Linked DNA regions of Coturnix japonica. The protein of the gene in region 1 purifies or fractionates together with the protein of each later gene. This does not show direct contact. Links are inferred from orthologs where the notes say so. Each region holds a gene or a part of one and is shown in the gene's direction. Other genes may lie near its edges.

Region 1 (7,520 bases):
TCTGTTCCATGAATTTAAAATCAATCACATACAATGTTAGAAGTTGATCCTTCCAAGTCAACATTCTGCTTTGTCTTCAGAGATCTTAGATAAAAATTCTAACTGTTGTTCCAAACAGCGCACAGATATCAAATATATGGTTGGCTGATTGGCTGTCACAAACAAGCTGACATTTGTGACACCTCTCTCCCCTTTCAGGATATTATCTCTTCATGTAACATTAGGCTTCAATAAATAGCGTCAACTCTATTTGTCACAGCTTAGCTTATTACTGGCCTATCCTTTGAGTATTTTAGGCTCTCATCCACCATTTTTCATGCACTTATTGACATTTTTCTTGATTTTTCTTCGAAGCTTTTCTTTCATTTTGTTAAGCTTTCATTATTTTATTTTTATTATTCCTTTTCCCTCCAAAAATATATATTCTTTTCTCCAGCAGAGGAGGGAAATAGATTTTCCACACAACACCTTCAGAATTTAAGACTTATACAGAGCACAAAACAAAACTTACAGTAGTAGGTACTGGAGGTACTGGTATCGATTATTTGCTTCCGTGTTGGTAAGATAAGGCAAGAGAGACATGTTTGGAGGAAATAAAGGAAATAAAATGTCACTTGCACATGCTGATTTGGTGAGGCCAGCCTGTTCTTATGAAAGTGCCTGTGTCAAAAGAACTCACACTACTTTCTGGATGCTTCACCCTCCTGCTGAGGGTGTGATGCTTACAGAGCCCATCGGAGCAGCAGGTCTTACCATCTCACAGCCCACTGCCTTAAGTGGGTCCAGAACTGCAGCATGCAGAACTGTACCAGCAGAGGAGAAGCACTGACAGCACTGCTCGGTAACTCCCCACACAGATGTATCTGAAAAACAAGGTCTGTGCTCATCTTAACATAAAATCTTAGAGGTGCTGCTACATTTTCCTTCTTAAACAATTTAATTCTGGATGCATTTCATACCCATGTGAAATGTAATAAAGGGTGGTTTTTTTCTTGCAATTTTCCCTCCTTTTTTATCATCTCCCTTGTTGTCCTTCCTCTCCTGAGCCGTCTGTCTTGATAAACTGTCATTTTCATTTGCCTGTTGTGTATTTTTTTTCTTTCCTTTTCATCTTCTTTTCCTGGAAACCAATATAAGTCTGGTGAAGACCTGCTGTTGGGAATAATAAATAAAGTATAGGTACACATTTCTTCTACCTTGGGGAAATACGTTGTCAAGATATTTAGAATATTTTATCAGAGGCTGGGTAAAATTCCATGGACAAATATTATTGCAACCTTGATTTTTATTCCCAGCATGTAGTTTAGCAAATAACACTCTTGTCCAACTTCTAGCAAAGATGTTGCAGCTGCAGTTTCTTTTCTGTCTTTTCTTGCCTTTGTGAAAATAAATCATCCCCACTCTGTGGCAGTGAAATAGAGAGGTTACCATTCACATCTTTGGCGTTTCTTATCATCATCAAAATAAATAGTCGCACCTGTGCAAGCTAAATAAATGGGAAGTGATGTCTTCCCTTTTTTTGAACCAGCAAATATGAGCAGCAAGCTGTCAGCTGAAAAGAGAAAAAAACAATTACAATGAAATTTATTCTAGAAATTCTTGATCACTCTGAAAAACAGTTCTCAGCCTGTTTCAGCCTACAGCTTTATGAAGGAAACTGTGAAGGTTATGATTAAAGTGACCATTGAGATTCAAGCTACTGAGTTGCTGAGATAGGTGGTGCCAAATATCTTTAGCTCCCTAAAATGCTAAAGGCAGAACTGAAGCCAAAGAGACATATACACATATATATCTGACAGCTGCTACCCTGAGTTGCCCACTGGAGGTACATTAGAGGAATATCACTTCATAAGACCTGAAAAGGTCTTCCCTAAAATTTAAATGTGGCATGAAAAATGTTCCTCGAGGGTAGAAAAATTGGCCGCACTAGGAGGACTTCAGGACACGGGAGAAACAAAGCACACTCAAAGTCTGTGACTGACAGTGAGAACCACAGCTATGTTTTAAGTAGATCACTGGGTCTGGCCTAAACAAAAATGTCAACATCCAAGTGGTTGATGGGGGAAATAAGGTTGCACACTGGTCTGCGTAAGTAATTGATGATATGTGATGCTGGGAGGGCCATCACAGAAATAGGGTTCTGAAGGATGATCTGTTTAAGTACTCTCCATTTTAAGTGCCTCGAGAAAAGGTTTGTTTTGCTTGTCTGTTGCCTAAAAAAAAAAAAAAGCTGCTTAATCTTGTTTAATGTCTCTGAACATTAGTCCAAAAGAGATGTTCAGAAATAATTGATACATATTTATGGATTTCTTCTCACATTTATTCAGACAAATTAAATCAAGTTCCATCATACACTGTCAAAAAAACCAAACAAACAAAGAAAACAAAAAAAACACTTGAAATAATGCTTTGAGTTCTCCCATGTCCACACACTTCACAGAAAAGCCTTAAGAAGACCATTTGATTTGGGCTGTGTGTTCAGATATTTGGCAGAGAAGCAGCACTGGCTATTCCAATAGGAAACATGTTAAGGGCACAGATAGGCCAAAGCAGAATTTGCTGAAACATAGGAAACGTAGGAGGAAGGAACATCTTCCAGGGAGACCTGGATAGGCTTGAAAAATGGACCCACAAAAACCTAGTGAGGTTCAGCACAGCCAAATTCAAGGTGTTGTATTTGAGCTGGGGCAACCCCAGACATTCAGACTGGGAGAAAAACTCACTGAGAGCAGCCCTGCTGAGGAAGACTTGGAGACTTGATGGACAAAAAGTTGGATATGAGCCAGCAGTGTGCACTTGCAGCCCATAGAGCAACTGTATTCTGGGCTGCATCAACAGAGGGGTGGCAGCATGAAGAGGGAGGTGACTGTTTCACTCTGTACTGTCCTTGTGAGCCCCCACCTGGAGCACAGTGTCCAAGCCTGGGGCTCCCAGCACAGGAGTGATATGGAGCTGTTGTGATGGGTCACAAGGATGGCCACGAAGGTGCTCAGAGAGCTGGAGTACTTCCCTGGAGATAGGTTTGTTCAATCTGGGGAAGGCACCAGGGAGATCTCGTTGCAGCCTTTCTGTGTTTAAAGGGAGCTTATAAACTCTTCGGCCTCAGTGTGCCAAGGAGCAGTGCTGTGGGCAGGGACGTGCCTGGGAGCTGTGGGCATTGCTGGAGCAATTCTGCCTGGTTAAGGGTTTAGCATTCCAAATAACCCACTGAACCTCCAGGCTCAAGGAAGTGGAAGCAGAGGGCTTGTGAGGCCTCCCAATACCACCTTGATGATGTGAAGAAATCACAGCCTTGCTTGTTTTAGCAGCTGCTGTAACTGTCCCAAACAGCAACAAAAGTGGTCATTACCACCTGTATTTCACATATGTGCTGATTAGCAGCAATAAAATGGGTGGGTTTTTCAACAGTGCTACAGAGTCAAAGCATGTTTGATTTGTGGTCTCCTGGAATTGTTCATCTCTTTTGCATTTTAGGGAATATCTCTAGAGAAGCTGGGACTAATCAACCTAGGATTTTATTTCACATTTTTTAGTTAACGCAGGAAAACGATGGCCTTAACTAGGAACGGTTCCACCCCCCCTCGGGCCATACAGTAGCTGCGCTCGGTGGGAGGCGATCCGGCCGCTAAGAGGAGCAGAAGCGCATCTCCCCCTGCTGGGCAGCGCACACACCCCGAGCTCCCGACTGCTCCGCTCGCAGCACAGCCCCCCACGGACACGTTCAGGAGCGCATAAAAGCTCGCACGCTCCATCACCCAGAGCTCCGCCTGCTGGTCCAGAGCCCATCCCGCTCCTCGTAGCAGGACTACCAGCCCCAGGTTGCTCCGGGCCGCCGGGGGCGGTGCCGGCTGCGCTCACAGCCTTCGTTCCGCCCCGTGCTGCGCAGCATGGCCGGCTTCGCCGATCTGAACGTCCCGCAGGGCGCGGATAGGAAGGCCGTGCAGAGCGTGCTGGAGGCTGCGGCGAACCGTGAGTCGGGGCTGGGAGCGGGTGGATGTGTTGTTGAGGATGGGGTGGCTGTGCTGGAAGGCGGCGCTGGCTGAGGGCTGCAGCAGCGGCGTGAAGGATGGAGAAGCGGGGCTGGACGGGGCGGAAGCTCCATGCGCCGGTCCTGCCCTGCCCAGCGAGGGCACGGGGTCTGTGCTGTGCCTGAACAGCGCTGTTATTATCTCCGGTTACTCTCCAACCTCTGCAGAGAACTTGTTCCAGGGTTACTGATCTTCAGCACAGGCTTTATGGCTTTCTCTAGTCCTGTCCACCACGGCAGTCTTTCTGTTTGTATCACCCTTCAATCGTGGTCACATCTCCCCTCATAATGCATCTTCCAGTCCGCTGCTGCAAGGCGCAGCCTTCGTGTCGATGCAGAGCCGGGACCTGGCAGCCTGTGGCTTACCCCACTACCCCAGGCTCACAGCCACACCTCAGCCTGCCCTGCTGTACCCATTAGGTAACCGTGCATCTCTGTGCGTACCCCAGCACTGGCCGTGCACAGTCCCTTGTCCTTGTTACTGTCAGTCAGTGAGGATGTGTTGTAAAGGCTGGCTTGTGCTAAAAGAAAAAATTGTACTCTTAAGACACATCTTTGAGTTAACATTGAGCAAAATTCACTGTGAAAGGTAAATGTGCACATCGTTATTGATTTTGAGATATTTAAATAATGAGCATGTGACAGTTTTCTCCTTGTGTCTGTTTCCATTACTTGCTGATCAAAGCAGGCTCACAATGTGTTTTCTTTTTTAGTGGGATATTCTGCAGTTGCTCTTAATCACGTCATCGATTTTAAAGAAAAGAAACAGGTAATTTCAGTTCAGCTTCTTTGTTGGTGATGTGTTTGCTCTCGTAAATCTCTGTGCCACTCCTCTATCCTTTGTTTTTACGCACTCACCTAAATGAAGGCATTTGTATTTATATTTATAACAGAACTCTGATTTTATAAGCCTGTATTACTGCCCTGGAGTTAATTTTTACTATGGTCTGTGAATTGTCCTTAGGAAATATTTTGTTAGTATGTTAAGCTTATTTTTGGAGTTGGAACACAACTTCTGTGTACATTCTAAACATCCCTGTTGTATTTTGGATAACTTTGTTTTGTTTTCTTTTAAGGAAATAGCCAAGCCGGTGTCTCCATCAGAGCTGTTTCCATCTTTGCCTATTGTGCAGGTGTGTTTATTACGTTCCATCTATGTGTTGTTACACTGAGCTGCAATTTTTCCTTTCAGTTTATCCACTCCTCAGAGAAACACAGTGAGCCCTTCTTTCTGAAGGGCAGTTACAATATATATGTTTTATATTAGGGAAGCATAACTACAGACTTCCAGAAAATTATTATAGGCAAGAATTGGTGCAAGGCACAACTTTCTTTTTATAGTAGGCAGGGTGAAGGTTGCCACAAAGTTTGTCAGCTTTTAAAATCTTATATTATTTTTCCATCATAGGGGACATCTAAAAGACTTAAAGTCTTAACCCGGCTGACACTTGTTGTTTCTGATCCTTCCCACTGTAATCTCTTGGTAAGTACATTCAGTGTATCTGCTTGTTTGTTTGTTTGTTTTAATTTAATTTTCTCAACGAAAGAATGACACTTTGGGAGTTGTGTATTGGATTTAATGGATTTCATAGGATACTCAGTACTGATTTCTCAGACCAGATCTTTAGAATCTGAAGCATCATGACCCCTCACGCAAGTGTCTGTGAAACAGAACGTGATTGTGCTGATCGCTTATTAGTATGGGGTAGCAGTTCTGTTCCTTTATTCTTTTATTTGAATTCTGGACTTCCATGTGTACACTAGAATACCAGGAGGGAGACCAGTGTGTGTTTGTGGAGCTGTGTGCTTGAGACAAAAGGTATGTGAGTGGATGGGACAAGCCTCAAAATGACCTCAGAGAATTGCTCACAGTAGAGACCTACTATTTAATTAGATTATCGTCTTTGTTTTGGTGCTTGAAAATGGTGAGGAAATTTTCTCATTATTATTTTGGTTATAATCATTGTGTGTATGCTTGTCACCTGCCAGAAGTCAAGGTAGTAATTATTTCCTCCTTTTGTAGAGATCTACATCTGCAAATATAAGATTGTATGACATCATAGCTGTATTTCCAAAGACGGAGAAATTGTTCCATGTAAGTACTATCTGTGAGTTGTCATAGAGCTGGCACTAACCATCAGTGTCTTGGAGTGCTTTGAGTGCATGCTTTGTTTTGTTTTCCATTCTATATAGCCATGTCATGGGGCTAATTAAACAATGTAGGTTCTCTGGTCAGCAGCAGGCAGACTAAAAGATTGGGAGAAATCCTAGAAGGGTAAAGGGCCTTGATGTGATCAGTTGGTCCTAAACGTCTGCAAGTGGTCTGACTGACTTGCTTTCAAATGCTCAGCTCAACTTCTTGTCAAAATGCTTTCATTGCAAAATGGGGGGAGAAAAAGTGGCACATCTGACCATCTCAGGAAGCTCCTGAGTCGTATCATTAAGAGTGAATTGGAAGAGTTGGTAGAGGTGATCTGTCTGTATTGCCCTTGGCAGACAGCAAGCTGATGTGCAATTTGAAGAATGCACTGTGTCACGGAGTTATCTAGATCAATCTATGTCTGTGATGGGGGGCAGTAGGCCTGTGGGCTCTCCCTCCAGCCCCAAGAATGGAAAGAAAAAAGGGAAAGGGGTAGGGAGATGGGAGTTGGGCTCAAGGAGATAAACAGAGCAGCAGCAACAATCTAAGGAGGAGAACTTATTTTACTAATTATGATATCGGAATGCAACATAACACAATATAGTATGATCTAATTGAAATTGGGGCTAATAAATCAAGTGAAATAAGAGAGAGAGGTTTCTGAAGACCAAGAAGCCTACTTTAAAATTGAAGGTGCCACAACTTGGAAGCACACCCACACTTACTGCCAGGCAGTGTGAGAGAGAGCCAGTGTCACTTCTGTGATGTGTTTTCCTCTCTGACCGTGAGGTACTCTGGGACATGTAATTCTTCTCTGTGTTCCACATGATGTTATGATGTGGAATACCGATAGCAAAAATTACAAAACCATGACACACTGGGACACCAACTGCAAATGTGAGTCTCTTTGGAGGAATGCCGGAATTTACTTTCAAAGAGAGGTTGTCGAGAAGCTGACATTGTTTTTCAGTTAGGTTAAAGCTACTTTCTGGTGCTGCTCAATACCTATCTTTGGAACATTAAAACTATATTTTTCTGATTTATTTTTTTTTTAAATTATTTCCTGTCCTTTTTGAAAACTTGTGAAGAGGCTGTAAAAGGAGGTGAACTTGAAAGGAGAAGAACTGAAGTATTTATTGTAACAGTGACAACTTAATGAAGCTCATTTCCAACTGATTTTTTTTTTTCTTCCCTTGCCAGACTCTGAACTCCTGAGGGTGTGCAAGAGTCAAAAGTCTTCTAAAAGGCTTTCTACTTCTCTCCATAATTTTTTTTTTTTTTGGGGGGGGAGGGGGGTGCTCTGTTAACAGCATAAAATTATTGTGATTTATTCCAGATGCATGCCAGAGTCCT
Region 2 (7,462 bases), on another chromosome or scaffold:
CCTAACGAGCATGCCCACAGCAGAAGACAAACCCATCAGCTCCTTTGATGTGTCTCCTTTTCTTTATTCCTCATACACAAACGTGGAAATACAGCGTGGCTCCCCAGCATACAGATCAGTGCCATCAGCTGCACTCTGCTGAGTGGGAGCTGCCTGAATTCTTCCACTGTATTCTGGGCTAGTTGTTCCACTGCCACTCACACCTTTATAATTGGTCATAAAAAGCTAATACGTTTACAAGCAACACCCAAATAACCCCGGCCTACCTGAGTTCCCAGGGACACACACGTAAGGGGGGCAGGACTCGGCGCACACTGGGGAATTGTGACAGACACAGTCAAAGCAGCAAGACCCAATGATACCGGCTGCCTTGGCATTTGACACCTTTATTAGTGTGGACATGGAAATGCATCTCTTCGGCAAGGACAGTGCAAGCTGACTCATTTTATTAAAAATAATGTCAGTCCTGGCAGCCTAATTGTGTTACTTTGAAAGAGAATGGCAGGAACAGGGCCTTGCCAGCTAGCGATGCCTCGGAGATGGATGCCTCATTACAGAGCAAAGATGAGAAATTTGTCTCTAATGAATCTTTTCAAATTTCCTGGGATTTCAGCCCAGATCCCCACGCTGCAGCCCGGCTGATGGGGCAGGGGCTGCCCTACCCTGGGAACGCTCTCCCAGTGCCACCAGCAGCACAGCGGGCTCCTGTGCCCTACAGAGAGATGCACTGGATGATGTAATGTATCTTTGGCCAAAACTTACCATTGGGAAAGTGCACAATCAACACAACCACACCGTATCACACAGACCTGCAGAGTTCAACAACCATTTCCTAGGAAAAAAAAGGTATGAAATTCCCCCAAAGCCTTCTTCCACAGATAAATTTACTGTGATGTAAAACAGGCTGGTGTACGTGAAAACTGGAGCCATGTATGCTGCAAGAAGCTGCAAACAGCCACATTTTCTCCAAAGACAAAGCAATTTTTGACTCCTAATACTTGATAGAGCTGGGTTCTGCCCCGTGTAGGAGCGGGTCTGGAGCTCTCAGCAGGCAGCCCTGCAGCAGGACGGCTCGCTCTCGGTGCTGGGCTGCCCTCTGGTGAGGAGCAGAGGAGTGCTGAGAAGCAGGCAGGAGTTAAGCTGGCTGAACACTCACTGCTTCAGCACTGCCAGGGGCTGGGAAATGTATTAACAACTTGGTATTTGGGTAAGGGAAATCAGATCGGAGCGTTTAAAGCGGCAATTATTTTCACCAGTATACCTGTCCCAAGGGACCAAATGTGACTGCTAATACAATTTGGCCAAGAGGAACAAACTGCATTGATCTTAAGAACTCCAGTGCTGGCTGAGATGCTCTTTCTGGTGAATTACAGTATCTGTTTCTTGTATCAGCTGCAATCAGGAAAAGCAGTCCGTGATTACAGCCCAGTCACCTCCTATGCACATCACTTCACTTCTGCTCATCTCCAGCTTCAGTTCACAATTACTCTTGAACAACAAACAAACAAAGCAACACCACAATCATCTCTTCTTACATCATACAAACACCTCTGTTTTCTGCAGGTGGATACTCTGCACCTCACTTGTAGCTCTCTGTGCTTCCCATCACTGAAATTCCCCCAGCACATTGCTGTTACCTGCCTTGGCCTGCACTCGTTTCTCCCATCACCCACTGTAACTCAACGCACCGACAGCCGAAGCAACATGGCCCCCTGCTGTACACATGTATGGTGGTTCATTGTTGGGTGTTCACAAATACATAGATACATAGACTAAAAAAGCAATAAATATAGCCATACACAGACTTAATGGGATAAGAAATACCAATGCTAGCACCTGCAAAGGGGAATAAGTAATATATATTAGGGGTTTATATCACCATAAACTTGTATTGTGCTTGCAAGCTGATTTACTTGAAAAAGTAAAAAGCTTCAAAGGCCTGAGACTAAGACACTTCTGACACTAAGTGAGGTGGAGACATCCAGAAACATGCATTAGAATTATCTGCACTTCTGTTTACATATTTCTGCATTGATTTTATTCCAAATTCCCTTTTTACTCATCTTCCCTCATTTCTCTGAGCCTTCTCTTCCTTTCTGATCCATAAAATATTTCCACGTATTCTTTTTCCTCCTGCTCTTTTTCATGTTTATTTGATTGAGTCCCACTCCCAGCTCAGAGCCCTTTCCCTGGAACACACACTAACAAGCTGACCCAGCTCTATCAGACACTGTCTCTGAAGATAGATTGGGAAATGAAGATGTAGAGCTGTTGGAAGAGACTGGCTTCCCCAGGCACCTGTTTAGCCTGGATCATTGGATTTACTACACTGGCATCACCAACACCGATTTGACTATTAATCCCTTAAGTGCCTTAGGAACTGCAGCATAAATCCAGCCAAGGAGCACTCATACGGCCCTGAAGACCCATAGCGTTCATCCTGGCACTCCATTCATGAAAACTGATCTTTTCTTAAATAGCAATGACAACTCAAGGAGTCCCTGCTTTGTAAAAACAAGGCACCTGTTTGCTGTGGCAACATCCTACACTGCCAAGAGACCTTTCATACACGCTGTATGGGAACTGTTGAGTCCCAGCCTGAATCACTGGGCACCTGAGAAAGGACCTGCTCAGCCCTGAGAGCACAAGTGGAGGCAATTCTCTTTGTGAGTGGAAGGGTGGAGCCTGGCTGCACCTCTTACACCTCATTTAAGGGCTGACTGCCACCAGGGAAGGTTCTCTGGTTGGAGATCCCTCCTTGGTGAAGCCTGTGACCTTAATCTTCAGAGATGGGTGAGCAGACCTTTATCCTTCCTTTTTAACACCATTCTGTTGTATTAGTCCCTTTATTATTACAGCTCTTGTATCACCTTTCCATCACATTGATCTTTCTGGTTGTTACACAAACCAACCAGTGCTTGTGCTTATTAATCTGAAGGGACTGGCCTTTTTTTCTCTACAAATACACATTTATCTGCAGTTTTGTCCCTTGTTACACACTGCTTTAGTACCTCTGTGCTCCACAGCAGCACTCAACACAATGCTCACATTTCCTATGCTCTGTCATGGCAGCTCTGTCAGCCTCCTTCCCCAGGGGGCACTTAGTTACACGTGTGGCTGATACCCACCCCGTGATAGGAATACAAACACCTCTATTTTAATGTGAGCTTGGACTTGCTAAGCTGAGGAACTTGTGGTACTGTTTCCAGAGCACCTCTGTGCCAAGAGGTGTGGGAGTGCAGCAGGGCTGGAAGGGGCGAACCCCTCGGAAGAGCAGGAGATGCTGCGTGCACATGGATGTGTATCCTCGTACTAAACTGCCATGCTCAGGCCCAAAGTTCCTACTGCTGCAGGGGGCTGAGCTCGGGTTCCGTAGCCCCCACCCCGGCACACAGAGCGTTGGGAAGCGCTTGATAGAGCGGCACTGTCCTGCAGCTCCACCTGCCGCACTGGAGGGGAAGGGGGGGATGCAGCCAGGCCCGCCCCGGTCGCACACACGTCACGGCTGCGCCGGAGCATCGAGATGGAGGGTGAGTACAGGGATGGGACGGGACGGGAGGAGGATGAGGATGAGGAGGTAGATGAAGGGCCGGCTGAGCCCGCTGTCTGCCCGCAGGTGTGTTGTACAGCGGGCTGCCCCGCGAGGCGGCGAAGGAGCTATGCCTACAGGTACCGCTCCCATGTACCCCCACAGCCTCTGCCCAGCGCTGCCTCAGCTCGGCGGGCAGCCGGGCTCTAATTTAATTAAAGTCTGTTTTTAAACACCTTTAGCCCCAAGGGTCAGAGGAGGCCAGAGCGTTTGTGAGCGCCTTCCTGAAGCGCAGCATGCCCAAGAAGAAGGACGAAGCCATCCAGGATGTGCTAACGCGGAAGGCCGTGGTTCTGGAGCACCACTGCAGGAGGAGGAAGAAGCCAAAGAGAAGGAAAACAAAAACCTTCACAGCCAAACAGAGGAGGGAGCTGGGGCTGTTTGATATCGAGCCTGAGCAGCAGAGGTATGAGAGTGAGTTTGTGTGCTCTGTGGCACTAAACCACAGCACAGCTATAACCTGGGCTGCCTGTTGGATGAGCTCATCCCTGACCAGTTCTTTCCTAAGTGCTGCCACCTGTGACTTCAATTCTAATCCCCAGAATGGCTGCAACCAGTGAATCTCCATTTTGCATTATGTTCCTTGACCCAGGACATGCTGAGTAAGGCCAGTGCTGCTCCTAAAAGGAAGCAAGGGGGAGAAAGAGGAGCAGAAAGCTCTTAAACACATCCCTCCCCTTGGGTTTGTTCGGAGCATATTCAGCTTTACTTGGAGTGGTTTACTAAGTGATCTGTGCAGCTGATAACATGTGTAATTCTTAGTTTTAACTCTGCTTACTAAGACAATCTACAATATAATATATTATAATATATATAATTAAGTTATTGTAAAATATTTGCCTTCTAACTGCAGATATGAACTATTTCTACCACTACATGAACTCTGGAAGCAATACATCAGAGACCTGTGTTATGGACTTAAACCAGATGCGTAAGTTTAGCTAATCTAACCACCACCATTTTTTAAGGCATTTCAAGTAGTAATTTGATTAAACTTAAATGTCAATTATTTAATAAGGATATATGCTATTTCTGTAAGCTTTGACCAGTATTTCAATAGGCACAGTCACACCTTATAAACATGCTTTTCCATGTATTTTTTTCCCCTCTCTGATCCTACCCTTTTCTTCAAGGCAACCACAGATGGTGCAGAGCAAACTGCTGAAAGCTGACCTCCATGGAGCTGTTGTTACAGGTATTGTTTGCTTTATTCTGCAGTTATCTGAGATTTGCTGTACTTTCTTATGTTTCAGGTGCTCATTGAATTCCTTTCAGTATCAACTCTAGGATAATGTAATTGTGTTGATGGATTCTTTCTCCATTTACCAGTGCTGCTTAACTTTTCAACTGCTCTACCAGTTATCACTATAATTACTTCAGACTATTATCTCAGACTTCTAAAATGATGAGGCAATAATGGAACAGCAAACCAGCTGCACCTGAATTTATTCTAACACATTCCTATTCTTGTTCTTTCAGTCACAAAATCAAAGTGTCCATCTTATGTTGGGATAACGGGAATAATCCTACAGGAATTCAAACATGTCTTCAAGATTATTACTAAAGACAACAAACTAAAAGGTATGGCAAATGTTTTTCAGTGCTTGTTATAATGTGAGTTACTGAGAATCGATCATATTATTATACTTCTGAGTAAATGTATGAGCACATACATACATTGTTCTTTACCACTGCTTGTAATTCTTTGCATAGTGGCAGAAGTTCATGTCTTTATCTGACATGTAAAAACCCAATAATGTACCTTAGAAGTAATTTAAAAACATATTTCCAGTGATTTATAACATGATTATGCACATGGTTCATTCATCTGATTCACTGTAGATCGTTCTCTGCAACTCTTACTGCACACTTGTGAACAAGGACTGAATTCTGTCAGTTTTGCCCTTAAATGTACAGGCTGTATTGAGTGTATTTCTCACACTGCAGCATTAAACCTTGACATGTTATGAACCTGAAGCCTGCATGTGAATAGTATTCCCTGGTACACCAGTATCTATGCATAATGCTACTTCTCCATTTTTCAGTTGTTCCCAAAATTAACAACGTATTCAGTGTGGAGACTGATGGATTCATTTCCTACATCTATGGAAGCAAGTTCCAGCTTCGAGCAAGTGAGCGGTCTGCAAAGAAGTTCAAGCTGAAAGGAACTATTGACCTATGATTTCATAGCAAATCAAAAGGAAGTTTAATTAAGATGTCTGCTGTTCTCCTTCAGTTTACAAAACAGGTTTTCTGGCAGACTGAAAGACAGAGTTAACTAGCTGAGATTTTTCTGAAGTGTTTCTTCATACTGAAGAATGACTGGTTTCATCTTTAAAGCAGTCTGTCAAACTGCTGAAGTCTTAGTTGTATCTTTTACTTGTGTGTAATGTTCTGCCTTTTATTAAACTTGTGATTAGTACTGATTACCTGGTTTTTGTTTCTATTTTGACTGTATATTTGTTCAGTGAATGTTTTATCTTATAACTTGCTTACAGAGCCTGCTTCGTTCAGAAGGCAGCAATAACACCTGTCACTGTGTAAGGAGACTGCAGCTGGTAACTGCTTTTATGTGATTGCTCCTGGATCAATCATTGCTGCCTGTTCAGCTTGTATCCATGCTAGACTGAAAAACCTTATAATGAAAGCATTGGGCAAAAATGTCTTTCATGTTTACTGAGTCAGCAACAGAGGTGATTTATGCTGCAAAAGGTATCATGTCCTGGCAGGTCAATGAGAACTCCTATGAGTATCAAGAATGCTTTCTGGATTGTTTTCCGCTAAACCAGGGAATGTTTTAGTATCTGACTTCCAAGGACTGATAAATACCAAGGTCAGTAACTTTCTTATCTTAGTCTGGAACTATTTATGCTTTTTTTTCCCTAGAACTACCTACCCAAATGGAAAAATACATTGTTTGGGGTAATGGTTAAAATGCAAATGCACAAGAAGTGGAGGTGAAACCTCTAACTGAGCACATGCATTTAAACAAGCAAGACATGTCTTAAACCACAGGTGCTTCAATCAGGACAGTGCCTCACAGGTGAGAAATCATGATTCTTTCTGGGCTTGTAGCTACTTGCAATCACTAGACAAGGACTTGGATTCTGTTCACGAGTACTTTAAAGTTAACAGGCACTTAGTCGAGCTCTGAAGTAGTTACATCAAGGTATCTCCCTTTAAGCATAATTCCTCCCAAAGTTCTTTGAAATCCATTAGATTTCTCTGAGAATCCACAAGGAAATATCAACAAATTGGCAGAAAGCTTAAGTGACAGTAGAAACTTTCTCTGCAGGACAAAGGCTTCATTTTCATTTTGCTTATAGCTATCAGTGTAACATCTAATTAAGACATCTGTTAAATGCCTATAATATTAAATTAATAGAGGGAAGCTAATGGAACTTTATTGGCGTAGTCCTGTTAATTAAAGACCTTTAATAGATGTCTTAACTAGGCATCATTAATGGCAATGACACACAAATTGGAATTAGGCACGATCCCATTTCATTGTGCTGCAGAGGACATACTATATTCTGCCATACAGACACACAGATGAGCACAACAGCATTTTCCATAGCTATTGCTATTTACACTTTTCTACATTTTACTTCAGTGGCAGGAAGATGTGCTGCTTAGCAGCCCCTTTCAGTAAATAACAGTAAGGAAATAATTATTTACAGTGAATAGTGCTGGAGAGGTGTTCAGAGGTCTCTGAGGTACTTAGATGCTAGCAGCACAGATGACAAATGAAGCCTAACAAGAGATTGAACAGCCAAAGCATTCAAACTACCTTTACTGCTGTTGCTAAATCACCTGAAGAGGCATTTTTACCTCATCGAGGTGTTCCAAACATCCAAATGTAGGTTTTTTTTA
Region 3 (7,248 bases), on another chromosome or scaffold:
GCATCACTAAAGGCTGAATGAAATCAGAAACAAGCTCTTTTTTTTGTATAGGTAGATAACTGGAAAAAGGGAGCTGGAATACAAGTGTCAGTTCCAGCTGGCCAACAGCTTGGAGTAGGACAAGTCCCTTTTCAAGGTGGAGCCTACAGCTGACCTGTTTAAGAGCTCCTGTAACTTGGGAATTTCTGAGTCTGTAGTCAGAGACTTTCATGCCTTTACTCTAGCTTTGGCTATGAGTTTTGTTTTCTATATTTACCAAGCTGCTTGATGGTGTGTTGGGTGTAAATGGTTCAGAAAACAGGTTCATACCCACTAACACACCAATATTTGTGAGAAGCCAAAGTGCTGTCTTGTTTCCTAATATTTCTTATTATCTCTCCCTGATCAGAGGAACAGTCTCTTCCTTCCCGAGTAGCCCTCCTGGAGCAGGTGAAGAACCTAGAGCCCATCTTAGACAGTGCCAGTATCCAAGGTATGCCTCTTCTTCTCCAGGTGTCTGAGTTGCAAACGCTATCCTCCAAGCTGTTGTATTGTTTATTTTTTCATGAGCCTCAGACTTGAGAACAGCTAAGCACACAACTTATTGTGAGTAAAATAGGTACACGGTGGTATATCTGCTCCTCCCTTACATTGCTCTTACGTTCCATGTCTAGTCTCTGCTGTCTAATAGAACACTGCTGAACATCTTAGCTATTACCAAACACACCTGGGGTGGGAATGTGGCCCCTGCACCAACGGGTCAGGGAGGTGACTGTATAGTTTAATAAAGAAGTTAGAGGCAGTGGCTTGGCAAAAGGTGTGAAACTGTGACTAAGCACTGTGTACAATGCCCAGGCCATGGTAACTCTCAGGGTTCTGCTTATGAGCTGTCTTATATCCAGAACATCAGTGTTCCTTGTGTAGGCAGAGATGCTTCTCTTAATGTTAACTGCAGTGTTCATCTAATTGTTAACATCTGTTAACTCGCCCTAATTTGAGTAGTTAGCAAGTAAACTTGTTATTTGATGTGCAGTGTAGCTATGTGGCTTTATCTGCTAGTAGGTTTTTTTTTTTCCAGTTGTGTTAAAAACACGTTTGTGGTGTGGAGCACAATCAGCAATTCACTGAGCAGAACTTTGCTGTGACTTGCCCTTGAAAAGTAATGTTCTATTTTGTTGGGTTTTTGTTTGTTTGTTTGTTTTTTGTTATAATTAAACCTATGTGATGTAAAACAAAAAAAATGGGTTTCTGTGCTTTCAGCGGCTCCTGAACATGCAGCCAAAATACAGCGACTCTCTCAAATCCAGATACAACAACAGGTAATGTGAATGTTTGTGACAGTCTTGACTAGCCAGAAAAAGGAACCATTTGATAGTGGATGTACTGATGACATATTTATACCACATCTTTAAAACTGCAGCAAGAAAAAAAAAAAAGGAAAAAAAAGGAAAAAGTTTAAGAAGGGTTACTAACAATTGATTATGAGTTGGAAAAGCTTTTTACCTACCATAAGCCTGCTTAAAACAGAGGTCTCAATAAGCAGAAGTGTGTTTAACCAGCTGCTGTTCTGCTTTTCACCAGGTCACTGAAATGTTGCACGTCTATCTATATGGCTATCAGTGCTGCCACCTTGTCTCTTTCCTTCCCCATCTGAGGGAATGGGGTGTGTAGCCTGGGTTGCACTTCATGCCCCCTTTTTGTGTTTTGCTGTGAGTTTTCATTCTGAGTCAAGCAAAGCATGGATGCTGAGAAAAACCACACATCGGTCTAGCATGGATGCTCTTGCACCGTATGAGCATGAGTGTTTCTTCATAACCTTTCCTTCAACTATTGAAACTCGTTCAGGCACAGTGAGTGGTCATGGCCAGGGCCTGAGTTTTAATCTTGGTACTGGCCTTGGACAATTCCTGACTTGCCTGGAATTACAGATGTCCTTTAAGTTATTTATTGCTTATTCACCAAGGCACTGTTTTTTGCAGGAGCAGTGTGAGCAGTTTACTGATGAAGTCAAGATGCTCTTGGAAAACTACAACAAGACAGTATCCTTTTAGCTGGTGCCTTGGATTGAACTGCCCACCTGTCTCTTGGGCCACCTCACCCTGTCAGAGGTAGCTGGAAGCAGGCAATCCCCAGCCTTAGGTTTAATGGCCGGTACCTTTTCTGGTGTAGTGATGTTTGTGTTCCTGTTATTATACTTACCTCAGGAGTGAAGTCCTGTTACAGTGCCGAGGGACAGAACTATCCATCCGAGACAGGAAGGGCAGGGTGTCGTCTGTGAGTCAGAGCTTTTGTGATGGATCTGCTTACAGTGTGGCTTAGCACAAAGGAGCTGGCATGTCAGTTGAATGTGCCTGTGACCTGCCAGAGCCTTGCAGTTCATCTCATACCAGTGCTGAAACACATCCTGAACTATAGTGGGTGGGGGAGTTATGTTCTTTTCTGAAGCAAGACCTTTAATTTGCAGCACTATGCAGTGCTTAGAAGTGGTGTGTAGTTGGTATAAGTCTGTGTAGGCTGTGTAGACACAGTTTTATTCACCCTTTTCTCCTCCAAGGAATTGGTTTTGGATCAGCACTGTCAGGCTGATGGGTGCTCCAGCTATTCTCTAACCTTTATTTCCTCCTAGAAGTTTTTGCTTCTCTTTCCTTAAGAGGAACAACCAGACTCTGCTTCTCTCCAAGCAGTTTGTCCAGTGGAATGAAATACTAACACAGCTGGAAGCAGCCAGGGAAGTGAAACCTGCAGCAGAGTGATGGCAGAGCAGGGAGGGCGAAGACCAAAGTCCTAGGATCCTGTTGGCCTTGCATTATTCAGAAGAGACCACAGCAGCTGCTTGCATCCTCTTGCCTCAGTATCTTTATACTTAGTGTGAGTATGCTGCAAATGGTGTCACAGACTCCTGGGGGCACCCTGGCTTTGTGGCCCTTAATCAAAGCAGCACCATCAATATGCCACTGTTTGCATATAGTTTTCTCTTAATATGCCACTGTTATTAATATGTTATCTTTTATTTTAATGTTTTCAAGCTAGTAACGTACTTTTAAAGTCCCTTGTTGCTCTTATCGTGGATCACAGTAAAGCCCTAATGCACTGGTCTGGCTTGTCTTTTCCTCCCGTGAATGCATCAGTGGCACAGAATGCCTGGTTAAGCTCAGGAGGGCAGATCCGCGTGCTGCCAACAGCCCATGGCTGATGTGTCATAAGGAAACGTTACTCCTGGCATGAAGTAGAAGCAGTGATCTGTGTGTCCCTTCTTGGGGCGGTTCCTGGTGCCCTGTGGGAATGGGAACTTGGAGACTGGGGGAAGCAAGTGACCCTGCCCTACGTCGTGCCTTTGCTGATCAGAATGGCAGCAGCGAGTCAGAGCCGCAGCCGGTCCTTTCTTATTCAGAAAGAGTTATTTGCTGCCCCCTGCCTGTAGTGCCTGGGCTGTGCAATTTATCCAGGTACAGAACAGAATTACTGAGTTGTGAACATGTCTTTAGTGAAGCCCAGAGCCCAGCTGTGCGCTGGGAGATGCGGGCCCACCCCGCCCTCACAGCCCGCCCAGGCCCGGCGCCATCACTCCGCCACTCCGCCTCCCTCCCCGCGCATGCGCACGCCTGGCGTCGGCCGCCATTTTGCGTCGAGTGTCGCCGTGCCGGCAGGTGAGCGTGCTTTCCGTGTGTCCCCCATCCCGCCCCGCAGCCCGTCCGCCTCCCGCACCCGCAGAGCCGCCCGGACAGCGGTTCCCGTCACCCCGGACCCGGATGGTGGGGCTGGGCCGCCTCCCCTTGGCGGAGCTCTCCGCCCGAGGCCTTCACCGTGCCTGTGGGGGGAGCCGTGTGACTCTGTGGGCCTGGGGGTGGGGGTTGAGCGTGAGCCCGTTTACCTGAGTTCTTTCATTTATTCTTTGCTTTTTCTAAGGATTCCGCCAGCTGAACCAGCGCTGCTCCTTCCAGTTTCGACCCCTGTGGCAGCATTCATGTTGCCCGCCGGTGTCTGAGCTGCCGCTGCTGGAAATGACTGCTGTGCTTTGCACTGCTGCACATCGGGGTGTTCTGGTGGATAGTTTGTATCTGCCCTGTCCGGCTGACAGAATCAGACAGTGCCCTTTGGAGCAAAGACTGCACGTAATTGGAGCGAGAAGCCCTTTGTGCAGCCTTTAGAAGTTTCTCAGGTACAGGTGTGTGGAGCTGCTGAGACTTTTCTGGTGGCCAGAGGCTGAAATGATGCCAATGGCAGCCTCAGTTTTGAGCCCTGCTGTGCTGGCACAGGTTGCTGGAAGCCACAGTTGCAGCTGCGCTTCTCGCTGAGTGGGAAAGCCCACAGTGGCTGGTTTGTATTATCACTAATTGCAGGTATTCATGGGTTGCTTTTCCTTTTCAGTGCAGCAGAATGGAAAACTATAAGAAGACCAAAATCGTGGAGAAGCCTTGTCCTCTTCCTTTCACTGACCTGCCTCCTGATATCATTGAAATGAAAGTGAAAGATGGAAGTAAAATAAGAAATCTGATGGGCTACGCCATTGGCAAGATGGAACTGGACTCAGTGAGGCAGATCCTTTTCACTGGCTCAGGCAAGGCTGTCAGCAAAACCATCACGTGTGTGGAGATCATGAAAAGAAGGCTCAAAGAACTCCACCAGATCACCAAAGTGCTTTTCAAACAGATCGAGGAGATCTGGGAACCCATCGTGCCTGAGGCAGGTCTGGATTCCTTGACAGTGAAGAGAAACATTCCTGCCATATGTGTCCTGCTGAGCAAAGACGCCCTTGATCCCCAGGAGCCTGGATATCAGGCTCCGGGCTCTTTTGACGCCTTCTGGATTGAGACACTTAAAGCAGAGTCCCAGGCCCAAATGAAGAGGAAGCAGGGTGGAGGAAGGGGAACTGGCAGCATGGGAAAGCACCCTCGTGCCAGTGGAGGGCTCGGGGAGTCCTGAGTGAAGTCCTGAGACAGAGACACTTGTGGGTGTAGCTTGGGGATGTTACAAAAACCAGCCAGCTGCTCTGGCTGGAAAGCTGCTGCTGAACACAGGCTTCCAGATCTGTTAGGGGGGTAGACAGGAGAACTCACTGTTCCAAAATTGACAAAATTGTAGCTGTCTAAATTGTGTTTTGGCAAGTTTCCTTGTCAGATGGTGCCAGGCTTCACTCCATAGCCTGTGGCTCAGGGATGAGATGGAAATATGGGATTTACCTTTTTGGGCAAGGATTGCTGGCATCCAGTTAGTGAGCCCAAAGAGGCATTCCAGGTATGGCAGTGCTTTGCATGGGCAGGAGATGAGGCAGCTCCTAGAGGGGAGATGTGTCCCAGGTTGGGCTGCCAGCCCATCATTGCAGCTCCTCTGTGTGGATGGCACAGCTCAGGGCTGGGTTGGACACTTTACCTGTGCCTGAGAAGCCATTTTCTGCTCAAGCCTTCCAGTGTTCTGATGGTTTAGATGTGGGACTGCAGGGGTGCAGCTCACTGTGTGCCAATCATCCCTTTCTGTCCTCTCACTTCCCCTCTGGTGCTGATGGTTACACCTCTGGCAGGAGTCAACTAACGTCATCACCATCCTGAAACCACGTAGGCAGGGGCAAATGCACAGGGGTGGTAATGGTGAGCTCCAAAGGATGCTTGTTTCCCCTTTCTACTCCTTTGTAATGCATAGGAATGGGTTTAAAATAAAGTTTGTAAGTGACAAAAGATGTGTGATGTGTTCCACGTTGCACTGGGGTCACCCTCAGCATTACTGACGGGCTGCAGCTGCAGGCGTTTTTCTCCTGTAGGTGGGCCCTGATGAAGGTTTTCCTTTGCCATTCACCTCTTCTAGCAATGGGAAAGCCAAGGGTTTATTTTTTCTGTCTGGAAGAGCAGATTTGAGAATACTTGGTGTGAATGCCACTGGATGGAGCAGGGGATGGAGCATCACGTCGTGTGCCACAGCTCTGCTCCTGGATCAGCTGTGGGAGGTGATGCTGGGCAGGAAGGAGCCGCAGGGCCATGGCCATACACAGCGCTGCTGTGCCAGCGTGGACTCTATGGGCTATGGAGCATCTCCCCAAGCGAAGCCCACCAGGAGCAGCCAGCAGAGCCCGCAGCTGTGTGTGCTGCTGGCAGCCACGAGGGGTCCCCAGCTGCCCGGCGGATTTGCATCGTACCCGCTGCCGTGCCGAGCTGCCCGGTGCAGGACGGAGCTGTGCCGGGCTCGTTCCTCGGTGCAGCCGCTCGGACCGTCCCTGACGCTTTGCACTGCACGGGGCCGCGCTGGTCACTCGTGGGCGGACAGCGCAGCCCCACGTCTGCGGCCGGTGGCGCAGAGGTGCCTTGGAAGCACGTGTAGGTGCCGGGACGGTTGTTGTGTTTTGTGCCGTGTCGCTCAGACATCGCAGCCGCTGCTCCATCCCCGCCCGGTGCAGCGCACGCACCACGCGGCCTGTGCGCGGCGCGGCGGGGCGGGGCCGCAGCCGGCGGTTGTGGGCGGGGTGTGTGCGGGGCCCGGGCCGCCCCTCGGAGCGGGGGGAGGAGCGAGCCGGGCTGCGGGACACGGCGCCGCTCCGCGCCGGGACAGCGAGCAGCGGACGCGGCTCCGAGCGGCGGATCCCGGGGCGCGGCGGCAGCGGGTCAGTGCGGGGCCGGGACGGGACTTGTTGCGGTTGCGGGATGGGGAGGGAGGTCGGCGTCTCCTTCCCGCGGGTCCGTCGGGGCTGCGATGTGCGAAGGAGCCGGCGCTGCCCGCCGCGTGCTGTGCCGTGCTGTGCCGTGCCGTGCCGCGCCGCGCCGTGCTGTGCCGTGCTGCGCCGTGCTGTGCTGTGCTGTGCCGTGCTGTGCTGTGCCGTGCCGTGCCGTGCCGTGCCGTGCCGTGCCGTGCCGTGCCGTGCCGTGCCGTGCCGTGCCGCGCCGTGCCGTGCCGCGCCGTGCCGTGCCGTGCCGTGCCGCGCCGTGCCGTGCCGTGCCGCGCCGTGCCGTGCCGCGCCGTGCCGCGCCGTGCCGTGCCGTCGTGCCGCCGGTAACGCTCCGCTCTGCTCCCAGGTGCCCGGCCGAGCAGACCCCGCGCTGCCGCAGCGCCGCCCGACGAGCCGCCCCGACGCTCCCGCGCCGCCGAGGCCGCAGCGGCGCCGTCCGGGCCGTTCCGGGGTGACGCCGTCCCGCCGCTCGCCGCCGGCACCGCCGCCGTGCGCTCCGTGCCCCCCAATGCCATCGGGCGGAGGCCGCGTCCCGAGCCGGGGGCTCCGCTTCGTCCCGCGGGGCGGCGGCGATGGGGGCGGCTCTGTCCACCGGAGCGGTCGTTGCCATCTCTTTT

What was found. Proteins that work in one complex are often made in the same cells at the same time.
Region 2: the proteins of RPP30 (region 1) and POP4 purify together in Homo sapiens (affinity purification with mass spectrometry; 4 studies listed by BioGRID and IntAct, counting the BioPlex papers as one, with this or other methods). This does not show direct contact. The link is inferred for Coturnix japonica from reciprocal best matches to the Homo sapiens genes RPP30 and POP4.
Region 3: the proteins of RPP30 (region 1) and RPP25L purify together in Homo sapiens (co-immunoprecipitation; 3 studies listed by BioGRID and IntAct, counting the BioPlex papers as one, with this or other methods). This does not show direct contact. The link is inferred for Coturnix japonica from reciprocal best matches to the Homo sapiens genes RPP30 and RPP25L.

Annotation. Positions count from the first base shown.
Region 1 is NC_029521.1:17,045,310-17,052,829, forward strand, and holds the start of RPP30 (ribonuclease P protein subunit p30), read left to right. Parts: upstream 1-3,601; 5' UTR 3,602-3,887; coding exon 3,888-3,969; intron 3,970-4,740; coding exon 4,741-4,796; intron 4,797-5,103; coding exon 5,104-5,160; intron 5,161-5,435; coding exon 5,436-5,510; intron 5,511-6,050; coding exon 6,051-6,122; intron 6,123-7,520. UniProt on the Homo sapiens protein: Component of ribonuclease P, a ribonucleoprotein complex that generates mature tRNA molecules by cleaving their 5'-ends. Also a component of the MRP ribonuclease complex, which cleaves pre-rRNA sequences.
Region 2 is NC_029526.1:7,092,653-7,100,114, forward strand, and holds POP4 (ribonuclease P protein subunit p29), read left to right. Parts: upstream 1-3,405; 5' UTR 3,406-3,523; coding exon 3,524-3,530; intron 3,531-3,616; coding exon 3,617-3,669; intron 3,670-3,750; exon of another isoform or gene 3,751-3,771; coding exon 3,772-3,995; intron 3,996-4,442; coding exon 4,443-4,520; intron 4,521-4,722; coding exon 4,723-4,784; intron 4,785-5,068; coding exon 5,069-5,170; intron 5,171-5,634; coding exon 5,635-5,771; 3' UTR 5,772-6,016; downstream 6,017-7,462. UniProt on the Homo sapiens protein: Component of ribonuclease P, a ribonucleoprotein complex that generates mature tRNA molecules by cleaving their 5'-ends.
Region 3 is NC_029547.1:7,293,185-7,300,432, reverse strand, and holds RPP25L (ribonuclease P protein subunit p25-like protein), read left to right. Parts: upstream 1-3,191; 5' UTR 3,192-3,626; intron 3,627-3,885; exon of another isoform or gene 3,886-4,144; intron 4,145-4,347; 5' UTR 4,348-4,356; coding exon 4,357-4,902; 3' UTR 4,903-5,651; downstream 5,652-7,248. Other genes in the region: DCTN3 (dynactin subunit 3), read left to right, coding at 389-472, 1,240-1,298, 1,959-2,018, 2,643-2,732; ENHO (adropin), read left to right, coding at 7,204-7,248. UniProt on the Homo sapiens protein: May be a component of ribonuclease P or MRP.